Tamandua tetradactyla: one gene and its partner. The protein of the gene in region 1 purifies or fractionates together with the protein of each later gene. This does not show direct contact. Links are inferred from orthologs where the notes say so. Each region holds a gene or a part of one and is shown on either strand. Other genes may lie near its edges.

Region 1 (7,398 bases):
GAACTGCCAGGGAAGAGGTTCCTCCAGAAGAAATTGTGCAACATGAATTCACTACAAGGTTCAATCTAACGATAGCTGAACATGAAATTGATTACATTTTGTTTGTGAGAAAGAATGTAACTTTGGATCCAGATCCTAAAGAGATTAAAAGCAATTGTTGAGTCAAAGGAAGTACTAGAAGAATTTCTGATAAAAGCAGCCAGTGGTGAAAGTAAGATAACTCCATGGTTTAAAATTATTACAGAAATAATAATTATAATTGTTATTCCTGTAATAATAAAAATATTACTACAGAAACGATCATTTAAATCATTTGATTCAGTTTGTTGAACATGAGAAAATATATAAAATGTGAAAGTGGGGATGAATAGTAAATTACTGAGAATTTCTATATAGCAAATTCAGAATGATTTTTTAAAAATTTGGTTCTCTTTTCAGAAAACTCTCATTTCATACATGGATACTTTAACAACTAGAAATCAGGTGAAAAAGACAACTGACTTCTTAATTTTATGTCAAATACCCCATTCATATGCACTGTTCTTTGTAAAATAAACCATTCATGAGACATTTCTGTAAAGTTGAATACAAATAAATTTAACTTATTGAAAATCATGCTCATGATAAATTTGAATAAGTGGAGCCCTTCATTTTTAATATTGTTGTGATACATATATTCAGAACACTTGTACAGCACTTTGCTATTTGCCAGAGGTTTACATAGTTCCTCTTTTTTTTGTATACTGTATGGTGGGGGGGGTCACATTTCATTCTCTTTCCATGTTAGTATCCCATCAGTGCAGCACCATTTGTTGAATTTTTTGTTTGTTTTGGGGGGGGAGTGCATGAACCAGAAATCGAACCCAGGTCTCCCACATGGCAGGCGAAAATTCTACCACTGAATTACCTTGCACCCCCTCAAGTGTTTAATATATCATTGATTGCTTTCTTGAAATCATGTCAGGAAAACGTGAAAAAGCTATTTGCATGGTTACCTCAAAACACTGCTAAGTAACTTTTCATTATTAACAGATTAAACTAGTAGAGCAGATTTAAGAAAATATATATTAGTATACATACTGTATATATTATGCTATATTAATATAATACCATATTAATATATATCCAAACATATATATTAGGATATATGTAATCTCTATCATTGTTAGTTGATTTTGTGGTTTAATTATTCTGGAACATCATTTGAAATTTAAAGTTAATCATTGCTTTTGGTAATGAGCAGGTATTTATATTGATTAGGTTAAATCTTTTAATGCTCTTGGTAGTTAGCAAAGAATGTTTTCAGAATTACAGTGGACTGAGGGGCTATTTGTAAAATGGAAACTGTGTCATACTCTATAACACGGGCTTAACCTTGGCATTGGTGACATTTGGGGCCAGATAACTGTTTTGGGGACTGCCTTGTGCACTGTAAAACATTTAGCAGCATCCCCCGCCACTACCCATTAGAGGCCAGTATCTCCCTTCTCACCCAGTTGTGACAACCAAAATGATGCCAGACGTTGCCATGTGTCTCCTGGGGGTCAAAGTTGCCCTCAGTCAGGAACCTCTGCTGCACAGTCAGGACATATTATAGTAGAAAAACAAAAACAATAGAGAAAAATCTAATGTTCAAGTTAAATAGATTCAGGCTATAGAATATGTGTATAGCAATATTTAAAAGTGTACCTCAACTAATGTAGTTCTAAAAGCTCTTACCACAGATTTCTTAGACTTGAAATCTTAAGACATCTTTATAAACGCCGTATAATAATGAGAAAAACATGTTTTATACAAAGCTAAATCGTACATATATTCAAGAGAAAAATTCATTCTTTAACCCCGTACAGGGTATTTATAATTTCAGGCAAGGACTGCTTTATGTAGTAAGTATTTATCTTATAGATAAATAAAAGCAACAATAACTTACCACATTAAAAAAAAAAATTCAACAGAGACCACTGTTACAGGGAACGCAAAAGAACTTGTCTCTTTGTTGAACTTCAAAATTACTATAATTTTCAAAGTGATCTTGGGAACCCATAAGATCTTAAAAATTACAGCAATACACAGCTAGACAGAATTTTCCAAATTTGGTATCGTGACTCATTCTTTCCACAAATATTTATTGAGCACCTACTGTGTGTCAAGCAATTAGTTAGGCAGGCGCCGTGTCACAAAACAAGATCAAGTTTTGAGGAAAAAGTATTTAACACAACAAGCTCCCGAGGGGAAATACAACGCTGAACTTAAATACCGAAGACAAAAACGATGCTTGGGCATTTAATTTTGTAAAAGGTTCCCTCCTAGACCAGCTTTTGGGGCGATTTGTAGCGAACTCGCAAAAGGTGGCCTGAGATATAAAGCCCGAGCCAGAGGGTGTCTTGGGCTTTGGAGCGCGGCCAAAGGCTAGAGTTGGGTGAAGAAAGCACTACCCGCGGCTTCACCCCGCACACCGGACCCGGCCAACCCGGCAGGCACCGCCCACCAGGTACCGCCCACCGGGCACGCAGGTGCCTCCGCCACCAAGTGGGGGTTAGGGGCGGGAGGCCCAGGACTCTCCGCCGAGTCCGAGCTGCGGGGGGCTCTTTGGCAGCTCACCGCGGGGAGCCCGCCACGCGGAGCCGGACTCGCGGGATCAGCAAATGCTGGCCTCGAACTTCCCCGGGGCCTTGCGCGGATTAACCCGACGGGCTCCCAGAACCACCTCTCCCCTTCCTCCCTTCATTACCCTGGCGGCGACCATGGCCAGCGACTCTTCTCAGGCGGTCGGCGGGCCCGGGAGCCGGACCAGCGGAGGGGCGAAGCAAGGCGTTAGGCCCGCTCCCTACATGGGCCGCGGGGCACTGAAGGGCGGCGCGACCGGGACAAGGGCCGTCCGCCTGGAACTCTGCCCTAGCTTCAGGCAACCCGCGGGGACCTGCCTCACCCCAGCCGCCCCGGGTCGTGGCCCCGCCTCCGCCCCAGGATCGGGTAGCGAAGGGGCGGTGCCCGGGTCTTGGGGGCGTGGCGGGCCCGAAGCTAGTCTGGATGGTGAGGGGGCAGGCCGCACAGGAAACTACAATTCCCAGCAGGTCGTGTGCGGGCGCCGTGGAGGCTGCTGGGACAGTGGGTTTCTTTCGCGCTTCGCCAGTTGTGTGGGGGCTGCCATTGACTGGGTGTTGCTGCAGAACCGAGGTCGGTGAATGAAGATGTTGTGAAGTCGCCTGCAGGTTCCTGCTACGCCGGGTGGTTAGCGGCATGGCAGTAACCCCAGCAACTGCTCTTACTCTGCGGACGCTTTAGGGACTTCTCTGACCGAGCACAGGCGGTGGGCAGAGGACGCCAGGCCATTCCCGTGAGTAACCTTCCAACGCATGACTCAAACTTGCCCTTGTCATCTTGCCCGAGGGCGGAGGAGCCTCGGGTCCTCAGAGGTCTCGCGCGGAATATGGGTAGGGCCGGAGGCTGGGTGGGGAGGGCTGAGTCCCTGCCGGGTCCCCGCCCTGTGGGGGGAAGTGGGTCATTTCCCAAGTGTGGGTGGAAAGTGATGGGCGATGGGCTCTGGTCTCCGAGTTCACTCCAGCTGCACCTCTAAGGATTGGCAGCCGCTCATCGTTCGCCGGACAGTATCCATCTGGAGCCCGGGCTTTGAGCGATGAGTGGCTTCGGTGCCTGGAAGTTAAACCTTAAGCCGGGTTCGCCATCTGTAATAAGAGCGAGAGGGAGAGGGTATTTAAAAGAGCTCTTCCTGCGTTGAGTTGACTTTTCGAGCGATTGGTTTTGTCTCAGGCACCATGTATCTTTTAAGAACGGGAACAGTTGGCTTTAGTTTCAAGCGTAAATAATGGATTTTGGCAGATGTTCTTTTTTTTTGTATGAAGATTATCTCCCAAATACTTAAAATATTTTGAGGTCATAATAATAGAGGTGGCCTCAATTACTTGCCTTTTCACCTTTTATTTAGACTTGCTGTTTCTACACGCAGGAAAATGTAACTTTTCACTGGAAATTCACTAAGCTGGATTTCTAGAACTGTTAGAAACAAAACGAAATGGGACACTTTCAGATTTTACTCCATTTTGGTGTATTTTTTCTCGACTTTCAAATTTTTGCTTTTTAGTTGGAGTTCTGAACTACGTTGATTTCCAAAGAGCATCTCATTGGTGGTGACAGGACATTTGAAAAATTGTGAAGGACATTTGGTGGTGAGGAAGGGCAGGGATGAAGACCTATCATTTGAGCAGTTATCTGGCTTCTATTTTTAAAATTAAGTAATGTTCAACAAGTCTCAGACACTTAGCGAGCACATACTATATGAGAGACTGTTTTTTTCCCTCCCATATATTATTTTTATTCATACAATGGAAGGGATCAAAAAGAACCCATATTTGAATCCTTTAAATTTACTAGGCACCCCAACTGTGAACTACTTGAGCTCCCTTCATTAACTAAAACAACCTCGTGACTTTGCTTTTATAGCAAGTGAAGTTCAAACCTCATTCTGTCTTGCTTCAAATCTGCAGGTCAAATAACCTGTACTTAGTCAGAAGTACTGATGTTAAAGATTGATTAAAAAATATTTTCCAGCGTTATTTCCTAATACTGGCTCCAGTACATGTAGGACTTCCTGAAATATACAAGTTTTTCCCTCTGGCTGCAATTTCTGTCCTCCTCTGAGCTGCTCATTAAGTAGGTAAAAATCCACTCCAAATCCATCTCAGTTCACTTATTTAAGAAATCACAGGTTTGGATTTTCATCTTAAAGGTCTTTTCCAGTTCTAAGATTTTATATGTGGTTCTACAATTAAAAATATAAGCCAAGGAGTTTTTTTCCTCACTAAAAGTGGTGAACACCTAAATCACAGAGGGTAGGAAAACTTGTTTCTTGAAACATTTTTTTGATGCACAAATATAAAGAATGAAACAAATGATAATATATTATTTCATGTTTATTTTGAGCTTTGTTTACATCATCTGTACCAGTTTTTTTTTCTTTTTCATCTGTACCAGTTTTTGATGCTCTTTAGTTACTATCTTGTTCATCAGTAAGAAATCTGAGGCATTCAGGTAATGCTCAAATTTAAATGACTCAGTAAAGTCAGAAATTATTCATGGTTCCCAATCATAGGTATTTAGATCTGGAGTATTCTTGTGATAACAATAAAAAACATTTATTCAATAATGTGTGTAGAGATCCATTTAAATAAATCATCATAATAGTGCTGTGAAGTGTTTGGTAAGTAAGCAAATGAGGGAAAGAAAGGATAAGTTATTGTGCCCAAAGTCACTCAGAGAGTAAATTGCAGAGCTGGATTGCAAGCCTAGGTAATATCAGAATTTTTACTTGTTCATTTTTTAAGCACCAACTGTGTACCAAACCTACACTGTGCACTTTTATATAATTACATCATTTGTTTTTACAATAACTTAAGCAGAGTAGGAAACTCAGCATTTAGTGGCTTGCTGAAAGTTACAAAATAGTAAAAAGGCAGACGTTTTCTTCAAGGTCTAAACACGGTGCTAGATGCTAGGGATATAGCTTCTGCTCCTAAGTAATGCAGTCTGAAGAGAGAAAGATAGATGTGATCATGTGTTAAGCAATATGATAGCAGTGTGCAGAGATCTGTGTACAGAGAGCAGTGTACAAGAGTGTTATAGGAACCCAGAGAAAGGGGACTGAAATCAGCCTGGATGGCAAGGCTTGGGCAGTCTGGGAAAACAAATGGGAAATAGTCTGGACAGAGAAGAGGAGGGAAGGGGTATTGCAGCCAAAGGTAATGATATACAAAAAAACTTTGGGGTATGGGGAGGAGATTAAAAATATTTAAAGATGAAGTCAGAGACTAGAGTGGGGCCAGATTAGGAAGATTTTGTATGGGCTGTTAAGGGATTTAAACTTTATCCAAAAGGACTGGAATTGAGAGAGCGTTTAGCAGTAGAAAAATGTTTGCATTTTAGAAAGACTACTCTCTTATCCTTTTGGGGAACGGTTAAAAGGGATAAAACTGGAGGTGTGGAGACTAATTAGCTTGCCCTTAGAGCATAAATAAGATTTAGGAAAAATTTGTATATAGTTGTTTGTACCTAGAGAATGGCCTTGTTTTTGGCATTTTGCTTCCCGTAGATCATAAAGCTTTAGTGAAATAACGGAATATTTAAGTGTTTTTCTTCTCTAAATAGTGCTTTTATGTATTTATAATAGACGCTTTTGTGGTGCTTACACTGTTCTAAGATCTTTACAAACTCTCTGACAACCTTATGTAATACTTGTCATTATTATTCCATTTTACAATAAAATATCCCCAAGGTCTCATTACAAGTTTATGATAGGATTAAGGTTCAAACTCAAGCAATCTGGCTGCAGTCTGGTTTCAGTCTGTGTTCTTACTCATTTTATTGTACTGCTGCCATATAATATTTATTAGGATTTTTACCAATGAAAGAAGGAGAGGGAATACAAGAAAAAAAGGCTGTATCTACCTTAAGGGGTGTACAGCTTATCAGAGGAGATGAGGAACAACCATAATCCGAAGTAAAAAATAAGTGTTTTCGAGGAAAATGGAGGGTATTATGGAGAGGGCAGTGCTTTGAGTTGGGGCTTCTGGGATGGCTTGATGGTAAAGATTATATTTGAGCTGGGATGTGAAGAATGTCTAGAATTTGGATATGTAGATGGGAGAGAGGACATTGAAAGTATAAGAAGTAGTATGAAAAAAATTATGGGATTGTGAATTTCTTGTCTGTCTACAGAAAGCCCCTTTCTGGGGCTAGAATGTATTATGTGGCTGGGGAAGGAAGTTGGAGAAGTCAGTTGGGACTAGATTGAGGAAAGCTCCAAATGTCTGGGAAAGAAAATTCTCAGGGAATGAGAAGCAAAAGAAATTGTGAGGTTTCAAGCCTGAATGATTGAGGTATATACCAAATGTTGTAGATATCTCTTAGGAGAAGATAAAGTTCATCTTCCATTATCTAGTTTATCAGTTAACAAGCCCTACCTTCACTGCCCCACAAAACCTTCTGTTTCCATTATTATTACCTAGTTTAACCTATATTACAATCATCCAGGTATGCTGCGATAGAATTTCTTAGTTCTTTTTCTGTCTCTGTCCTTCCAGTCTTAAAATTTGTCCTGTGTTCTGTCTCCAGATTTGTTTCTCTCGAATGTCACTTTCCATTTAGAAATTTGTTCCCTGCAGGTTAAAGTTTAGAGTTCTTAATCTGAACTAATCAAGTATAAATCTCCAATTACCCTGTCTGTAATCCTTCCTACTCAAATTTATCTGTTCACTCTTGCCAAACTGACTCTGTCTGCTGATTAGTTTTAACCTTAAATGTCTTTCCCCCTTTATCTAACCGATACCTCCATTCTCACTATCCAAATTTTCCCATCCTTGAGGAACCCACTTACATTTTATA
Region 2 (7,051 bases), about 31 Mb from region 1:
CAACATGTTAAAAAAAAAAAAAAAAGAAAAGAGAAAGATCTAAATAGGGCAGCGTGATGGTAGCCCGGTGGCAGAATTCTCGCCTGCCAAGCCAGAGACCTGGGTTCGGTTCCCGGTGCCTGCCCATGCAAAAAGAAAAATAATAATACTAAATTTTAAAAAAAGATTCAAATAAAGCCAAACTCCATATTTAAATTAGGCTTTCTCAGCTATTCTTTTATATTAACTTTATGAAAATTTATAGTCTAACTTGGCATCTCACTTTACATGTCATTAGAAACAGAAACAGGGACAGCATTAATAAGTTTTAGAACACAAAGTTCTCAATTTAAACTTAATACAAGAATCTGCAGTCTGAATTGCTGACCTAAACTGACATGCCTTGAAACAAAAAAACAAAAATCTTCTTTTGTTAGACAAATCACTCATCATATTTAGTATATTTTACTAAAAATATAGTAAATATTGATATTTTACCAATGAAAAAACTAAATACATCTAGTCAATCTTTGCGGCATTATGACCAAAAAGTCGTTGACCTATATGGATGGTCCCAGTATAATGACTATTTTTTCACGGGGTGGAAAGGGGAACTGCATTACAACATATGGGAGATACCATACTAGCCATGAAATCAATATTTATAACAGAATGCTTTTTTTTTCATTCTTCCACTCACATCGATATCTGTGTGCTCTATTCCATACCTGAAAGCATGCATCCTGTCAAATAATGAACACTTTATTAAATAACCAAAAGGATCCAAATTTTAGAGGATTTAATAGTGAAATATAATCCTTTAGAAAAAAAGTTCTGTCCTCAACAGCAGTTATTAAATACAACTGCAGCATTTCATCTGAAGTAAACAATGCTACTCTGTCCGGCGGGGGACGACACACAAAAAACACTTACAACTTCCCTTGCTTGAGTAAAACTATTTTTATGTGAAGTTATTTAATGACCAAAAGAAAAGCATAATGTAAGAATTATATATATATATATATATATATATATATATATATATATATATGCACTATATAATATGTAAAGAAAAATATACAGGAAAAGACTGGAAAGGAAATATACAAAAACATTAACAGTAACCCAACCTACACCGCAAGATTACAGAAGATAATTTTCGTTTTATTTTCCAGTACTTGCATACATGCAGGCCTTTTACAAATATAATGCATCACCTAATAGTCAGAAAGCTTTTTTGTTAAACTGAAAAAAGTAAACCGACATTCACTTGTCATACAAGCAAACAGCTATAAGTACTTACAAACCAAAAGAGGTTCTAAGATTTTTCCATAGGTCATATAATTGAGAATTCAAATACAGTTGCTAAATTACTTGGTAAGTAACCTGAAAAAAACCGCACAAGATAGAGTTAAAAGCTTTCACTTCTGCCTCTCTTATAAAGATTTTCGTAACAAAAACCTAACAAAAAAATTGTCCTTCCCTATAATAATTTTCTATGGACAAATTTCTATCCAAGAATATTTTAGGCTGTTTTACAAAAATGCCATCTCAAAGAAGTAGTTTAGTTTAGAGCAGTAATTTCAAAGTTTAGCTACCGAAACATAGTATAGTGCAAGAACTTTTGAAGCATTTTTGTAAAGGCACCAAAAGCAATGTCTATATGCAGATGAGCTTTATTTAACACGCGTCTTTCCATTACTTCTTAAGAATCTGATGTCTAGTCAAGGTTTTTTGCTTAGTCTGGACATGGAGTTACTTGAATATCCGGGAAACTGTCAAAATCGAGCTCAAATTTCATTATGTTCAAGGCATAGAATGTCAACTTCTGACTGGGCCTCCCTCTCCCTCTTCTTCCTCAGGCCCGAGTTTAACATCCTTATTCTACATTTCCGGGCTCATGAGTCACTGAGAAATGAGCTCTATGTTTTTCTTAGAATGCAACTCACATAGCCCCTCTACAGCACTCAGGATCTGGCCCCAGAATTCCTCTCTAATCGTAGGCAACAGACTGAATTATCCACTATTTCTACAGTATGTCTTTTTACTTTGTCCTCTCCCTTGGCTACCCTTCCACATACCGTCGCATCTGCACCACTTCACTCCTAAATCCCATCCGGCCTTCAAAACCCTGCTCGGCACCGCCTCGCCCAGGAAGCCTTGCAGATTCCTGCTAGGCGGAAGTGATCGATCGGTTCCGTCTTCCCTGCGTGCATTTCTAGCACTTTGTAGCTCTTGCACAGGACTTACACCTCCTTCCTGGTATCAGGGTTATTTGTGCACTCGTTTTATCTCCACACCAGAGCGCAAGCTCCTCAGGGAAGGGGACTGTGAGGTTGGGTTCACCTCTGAATCCCCCGGCGCCGACCGACTACCGCGCCTGCACAGTCGGCAGTCAGGCTGCTTCAACCAAACTCGGGAACGCTCCGACGGCACAATTCCTAACCAGAAACCAGTCAGGCATTTTTCTGAAATGATGTTTACAAAGGCGGTGTCTGCCTCCCGATAACAGGAAGTTTCCTAGGGGCCTGGCTGCGGACGGGAAGGGAGCGAGGTACCCGGAGCCCCGAGTGCGGTGGGAGTGACAGTTGGCCCGGCCCGCACTTTCCCAGCCTTCCCGACTCGGGTCGGGGCCGTCCCTACGCCGCTGGCCGCGCTGGGGAGCCGCGGAGAGGGATGGCAGGACAGCGCGGGGCTCCCAGGGCCCCGGGTCGCAGGCCCCAGGCATCCCGCTCCGGAGAAGGCAAGGGGGGACGGCTCCGTGAGGGACCCGGACCGGGGCGGAGAGGGCAGGCCGGGCCCCGCCGCTCCCGCCGACGCCGGAGAAAATGGAGGCAGACCCGGGGCCGGTCAGGCAGGGCAGGCGGAAGGGGCGTCCGCGCCTCGGGCAGGGCCGGGCCTGGGGTCACTCACGGGGCTGGGCTGGGCCGGGCCAGGCGGCTCCCTCTCCGCCTCCGCGTCGTCGCCGTCCCCGTCCTCGGCCGCCGCCGCCTTGGGCTGCTCGCTCGGTCCCCGCGGCGCGGCTCCGGCGCTCGGCCCCTCCGTTGTCTTCCGCCTGTTCCTGCTCCCGGAGACTGGCTCCGGCGGCGGCGACGGCGGCGGCGGCTGCGCGAGCGGACGGCGGCGCAGGGACTCCCGCGGCGACCGCCGCGCTACTGCACTCGCTCGGGCTGCGGCTGCGGACCCTGACGCCTCCCTAGTCTCCGCCTCGGCTCCCGAAGGCTCAGTCTCTCCAGGCCGCGCCGCTCCCCACTCCGGCCCGAGCCCGGCTTTGACGCGCACACTGCGCAGCCGCGGAGGGCGCGACGTCGGGCAGCGCTGCAACGCCCCCTTTGGTCTCGGGCGCCCCCGGGCGGCGGGGCGGACTCAGGGCGGCGGGGGACGCGTGCGCCGAGGCCGAGGCGCGAGGGGACGCAGAGAAAAGAAGCAGAGGAGGTGGCTTCTTTCATCAGCGGTTTAAATGCTGGTGTTCCCCACTGCTCACAGCAGCGCTTGTCTATGGAAGCACTCTTCCTGAAGGCATCTCACCCCCACTTTCAACTACCACTTCCTCAACTCTTAACTATTTCTGCTAAAAGCCAGGGGCCGACTTTGTTACAGACGGAACCCCTCATACTTCAAGGCATAGATCGTTTTCATTTTAGCATCCTCCGTAAAAGAGGGTAGAAAGTGATGTTATGTTCCAAATTATTAGGATTCAACAGTCTAGCTGTAAATCCCAGCTCCACCATTTAGTATTTTTTGTGTGCTGTTTTTTGTCCTGGTGTCTTAGTTCCCGATGAACGCGATAATGCATTGCAAAGAAGCTCTGACGTAAAAATAACAAACATGAATTTTGGTGTCTTTGTTTTGCTTTTGGTAGTATTTAATGCATAAGTGAAGAAATAACTCTTGAGCACCTGCTGCGGGCCACATGCTGTTCTACTAGGTGGTGGGGCAGTGAACAAAACGGGTAGTGTCTGAGACAAAACAGTAAGCACACAAACCAGTACATGGGTGTTATTGGAAGGTGTTAAGTACTGTTGAGTAAACCGACACAGGCTAAGGAGGAGAGAGAATGGGTAGTTTTGTTTTATTGATTGTGCTTCTACAGGGAGCATCTACCCAAAGGTAGCATATGGACAGTCAGGCGGAATAGCAAGGACCCAAGCTCTGAGGCCAGCTGTGCTTGAAGAGTTTGAGGTGCGGCATGAAGGCCAGCAAGGCAAGTGCCCTCAGTGAGCGGAGAAGGGAGTAGGTGGGTGAGTAGGAGCCATGGAGACCAAATAAGGGCTTTATTATTATTACTGTTTTACTCTGAATGAGATGGGAAGCTGTTTGGAGAAGTTTGAGCAGAAAAGGGATGTGGTCTGACATGTTAAAAGCATCACGTTGGCTGTGAAGACTAGACTAACGGGGCCAAAGGTTGAAGCAGGGAGACCAGTTAGAAGGCTGTTGAAATAATCTATTCAAGAAAGGAAGGGGATGGGTCCAGGTGGTAGGAATGGAGATGTAAAGAAGTGTTTAGGTTCTAGATTCAATTAGAAGGTGTTTTGCCAATTTCTAGGGTTTTTGTCTCAACCAGCTAGACTAATGCAATTTGGTGAAATGGGAAGATTTAAGCAAGAACAGATGTGAAGGGAGGCACTCAGGGATTCATTTGGGGGCATATTAATTTTGAACTGCCTCTGACACACCCAAGAGGAAACTGGATATGGAAGTCTGGGAAGAGGCCTGGAGACCTGGAGAGTCCTAAGAGTAGGTGAAATCTTGGAAGTAAGGCCAAGGATTGAGCCTGAAGCCCTCAATATTGAAAGGTCAAGTTGACAACAGGAATTAGCAGAGGATTGTAAGAAGGAACCAGAGTGGGAATATGGCTAGGAAAGCCTGATGTGTGGAAGAACAGGGATGCCTTTCAAGGAAGAGGGATGGATCCATACTGCCCAACAGGTAATGGGAGTTGGCCAGGTATTGGTAATTGGCCATTGATTTCAGCACCATTTAGGTAAAACTAGTGAGAGCTGTTTCAGTGGAGAGGTGGGTGGGAAAACCTGATTGGTATGGACTCTAGAAAGAATGAGACCTAGAAACCTCTCTAGAAAGAACAAGCCTCTTGAAAGAGAGACCATGAGTGTCAAAGCTTTGCTCTAAAGGGCAGTGGAGAAATCAGGTGGTAGCTGGGAGGGGAATAAGAGGTCAAAGTTGATTTTTTTGTTTGATTTTTTTTGCTTTTAGGATGGAATACATTATAGCATGCTTAAATGCTGATGAGAATGATTCAGTGGTGAGGGAAGACCTGTGTGTGTGGGGGGGCATTTTCTGGAGAGCTGTCCTTGAGTGTGTGAGAAGAACCCATGCAGCGCCCAAGTGGAGGGTCTGGCCTTGGAGGGCATGCAGCGTGTGGGCACAGAGCCAGGAGGCATGTAGACATGGTGCCAGGAATGTGTGGAAATTCCCTTCCATGGGCTTCTATTTTCTTCTTGAAACAGGAAGCAAGGTCATCAGCCCAGAGCATGGAGGGGGAGGAGGTGTTAGAAGTCTGAGGAGAGATGAGAAGGTGTAAAGAAGGGCCAGTCACAGGGTTATTATGCTTTTCACCAGCCACACTTTGCTGGGAAGGTTGGGGATGAGAAGGTGAACAGTTTGATTCAACCAGGGTCATTATTTTTTTATTGACAAATCTTCACACACATACAATCCGTACGTCAATGTGTACAATCAGTGGCTCACAATATCATCACATAGTTGTGTATTCATCATCATGATTGTTTTTAGAACATTTGCATCACTCCAGAAAAAGAAAGAGCTCTAAGAAGGAAAAAGCTCTAAGGTGAAGTTGATTATTCTTATTCTTGCCAGGATACCAAACACTCAATAAAGGCAGAAAAAAAAAGAAGAAGAAGAAGAAGAAGAAAAAGAACATTAGGATATATTCTTAAAGCAGTTTTATTATTCACACACCATACAATCCATCTAAGCTAGAATAATCTTGACCCCAAATATACCTAAATAAAGAAAAATCATGACGTATAAGAAAAGACATCAGCATATTAAAAGAGAAAACCACCCTAACCAAGCACAATGTATCTCAAGTATATTAGACAACTATTAGAAAAACCAGGTGACAAAAAGCTCTGAGGAGGGTGGGGAATTGGACTGGGATGGGGTGGGGGTGGGGAGCTGCTGGTTACTGGAGCTTTCTCCTGCCTCTCTACTAAAAGTGTACACCCTCAAATGGGAAATGGGTATACCACAAGTGATACCTAATTTTGAAAATTTATTCCATAAAGACATTACCCCACTGCTTTTCTCTAAAAAGAGGAAAGTCCTTTAAACTGCAGTCCCAAAGAGGATTTATGTAACTTGTATTCTGCAAAAACAAGTCATGATCCAATTTCCCACCACATAAAAGAGTGCACGGGGGTGAATAAATCCTATATACAGCGCCTTGATTCCTTTGCTCTATGGATCAGAGTAGGATTCCAGATTAATCCCTTAACATTGATAAATCCACCACAGCTGGGAATTGTGACAGCAAGACAGTACAAATTTCTGGAGCAGGGTTTTGTAACAAGTTCTGAAATCAAACAGAAGGAACCACATCATCTGACCACCTGGATTTACACTGGGACCTTCTTAACCTTTCTATGGGACTCTCTGGAAAGCCTTTCTATTAATAATATATTTATTTTTAGGCACAACTTCTTTCTAAAATATTCTTCCACCTCTTCATCTCACATGGAGTCCCTTGGATCTCCAGTGCCTGTGGAGCTCAGGGTGATCCTTTTCCTTGAGTTGGACTGTGGAAGGGGTCTATTGCTTTCATTTCCCTCACTCTCCTCCTTTGAAGCTGGAAAGTGTGGAAGCTCCACCCTGCCTTAATCAGACCTTCTGCAAAAGAACTTTGGAGCCTGACTCATAGCTTCCCTCCCTACCCCACCCCACACCTGACGTCTCCTGGGCAATGTAAGTGTCACTCATCCAATACATTAGCTCAGTGACCTTCACTTTCCTTCTGTTTCAGCAATCACTTGTTCAGTTCCACACAATGGACACCAGAACTACTCCCCCGTTGGAGTGTGAACTCTAGCAC

The links.
Region 2: the proteins of STRADB (region 1) and CAB39 purify together in Homo sapiens (affinity purification with mass spectrometry; 3 studies listed by BioGRID and IntAct, counting the BioPlex papers as one, with this or other methods). This does not show direct contact. The link is inferred for Tamandua tetradactyla from reciprocal best matches to the Homo sapiens genes STRADB and CAB39.

What each region holds. Positions count from the first base shown.
Region 1 is NC_135329.1:175,947,749-175,955,146, reverse strand, and holds the start of STRADB (STE20-related kinase adapter protein beta), read right to left. Parts: upstream 3,015-7,398; 5' UTR 2,732-3,014; intron 1,574-2,731; 5' UTR 1,493-1,573; intron 1-1,492. UniProt on the Homo sapiens protein: Pseudokinase which, in complex with CAB39/MO25 (CAB39/MO25alpha or CAB39L/MO25beta), binds to and activates STK11/LKB1.
Region 2 is NC_135329.1:206,623,570-206,630,620, reverse strand, and holds the start of CAB39 (calcium-binding protein 39), read right to left. Parts: upstream 3,003-7,051; 5' UTR 2,893-3,002; intron 2,570-2,892; exon of another isoform or gene 2,061-2,569; intron 1-2,060. UniProt on the Homo sapiens protein: Component of a complex that binds and activates STK11/LKB1. In the complex, required to stabilize the interaction between CAB39/MO25 (CAB39/MO25alpha or CAB39L/MO25beta) and STK11/LKB1.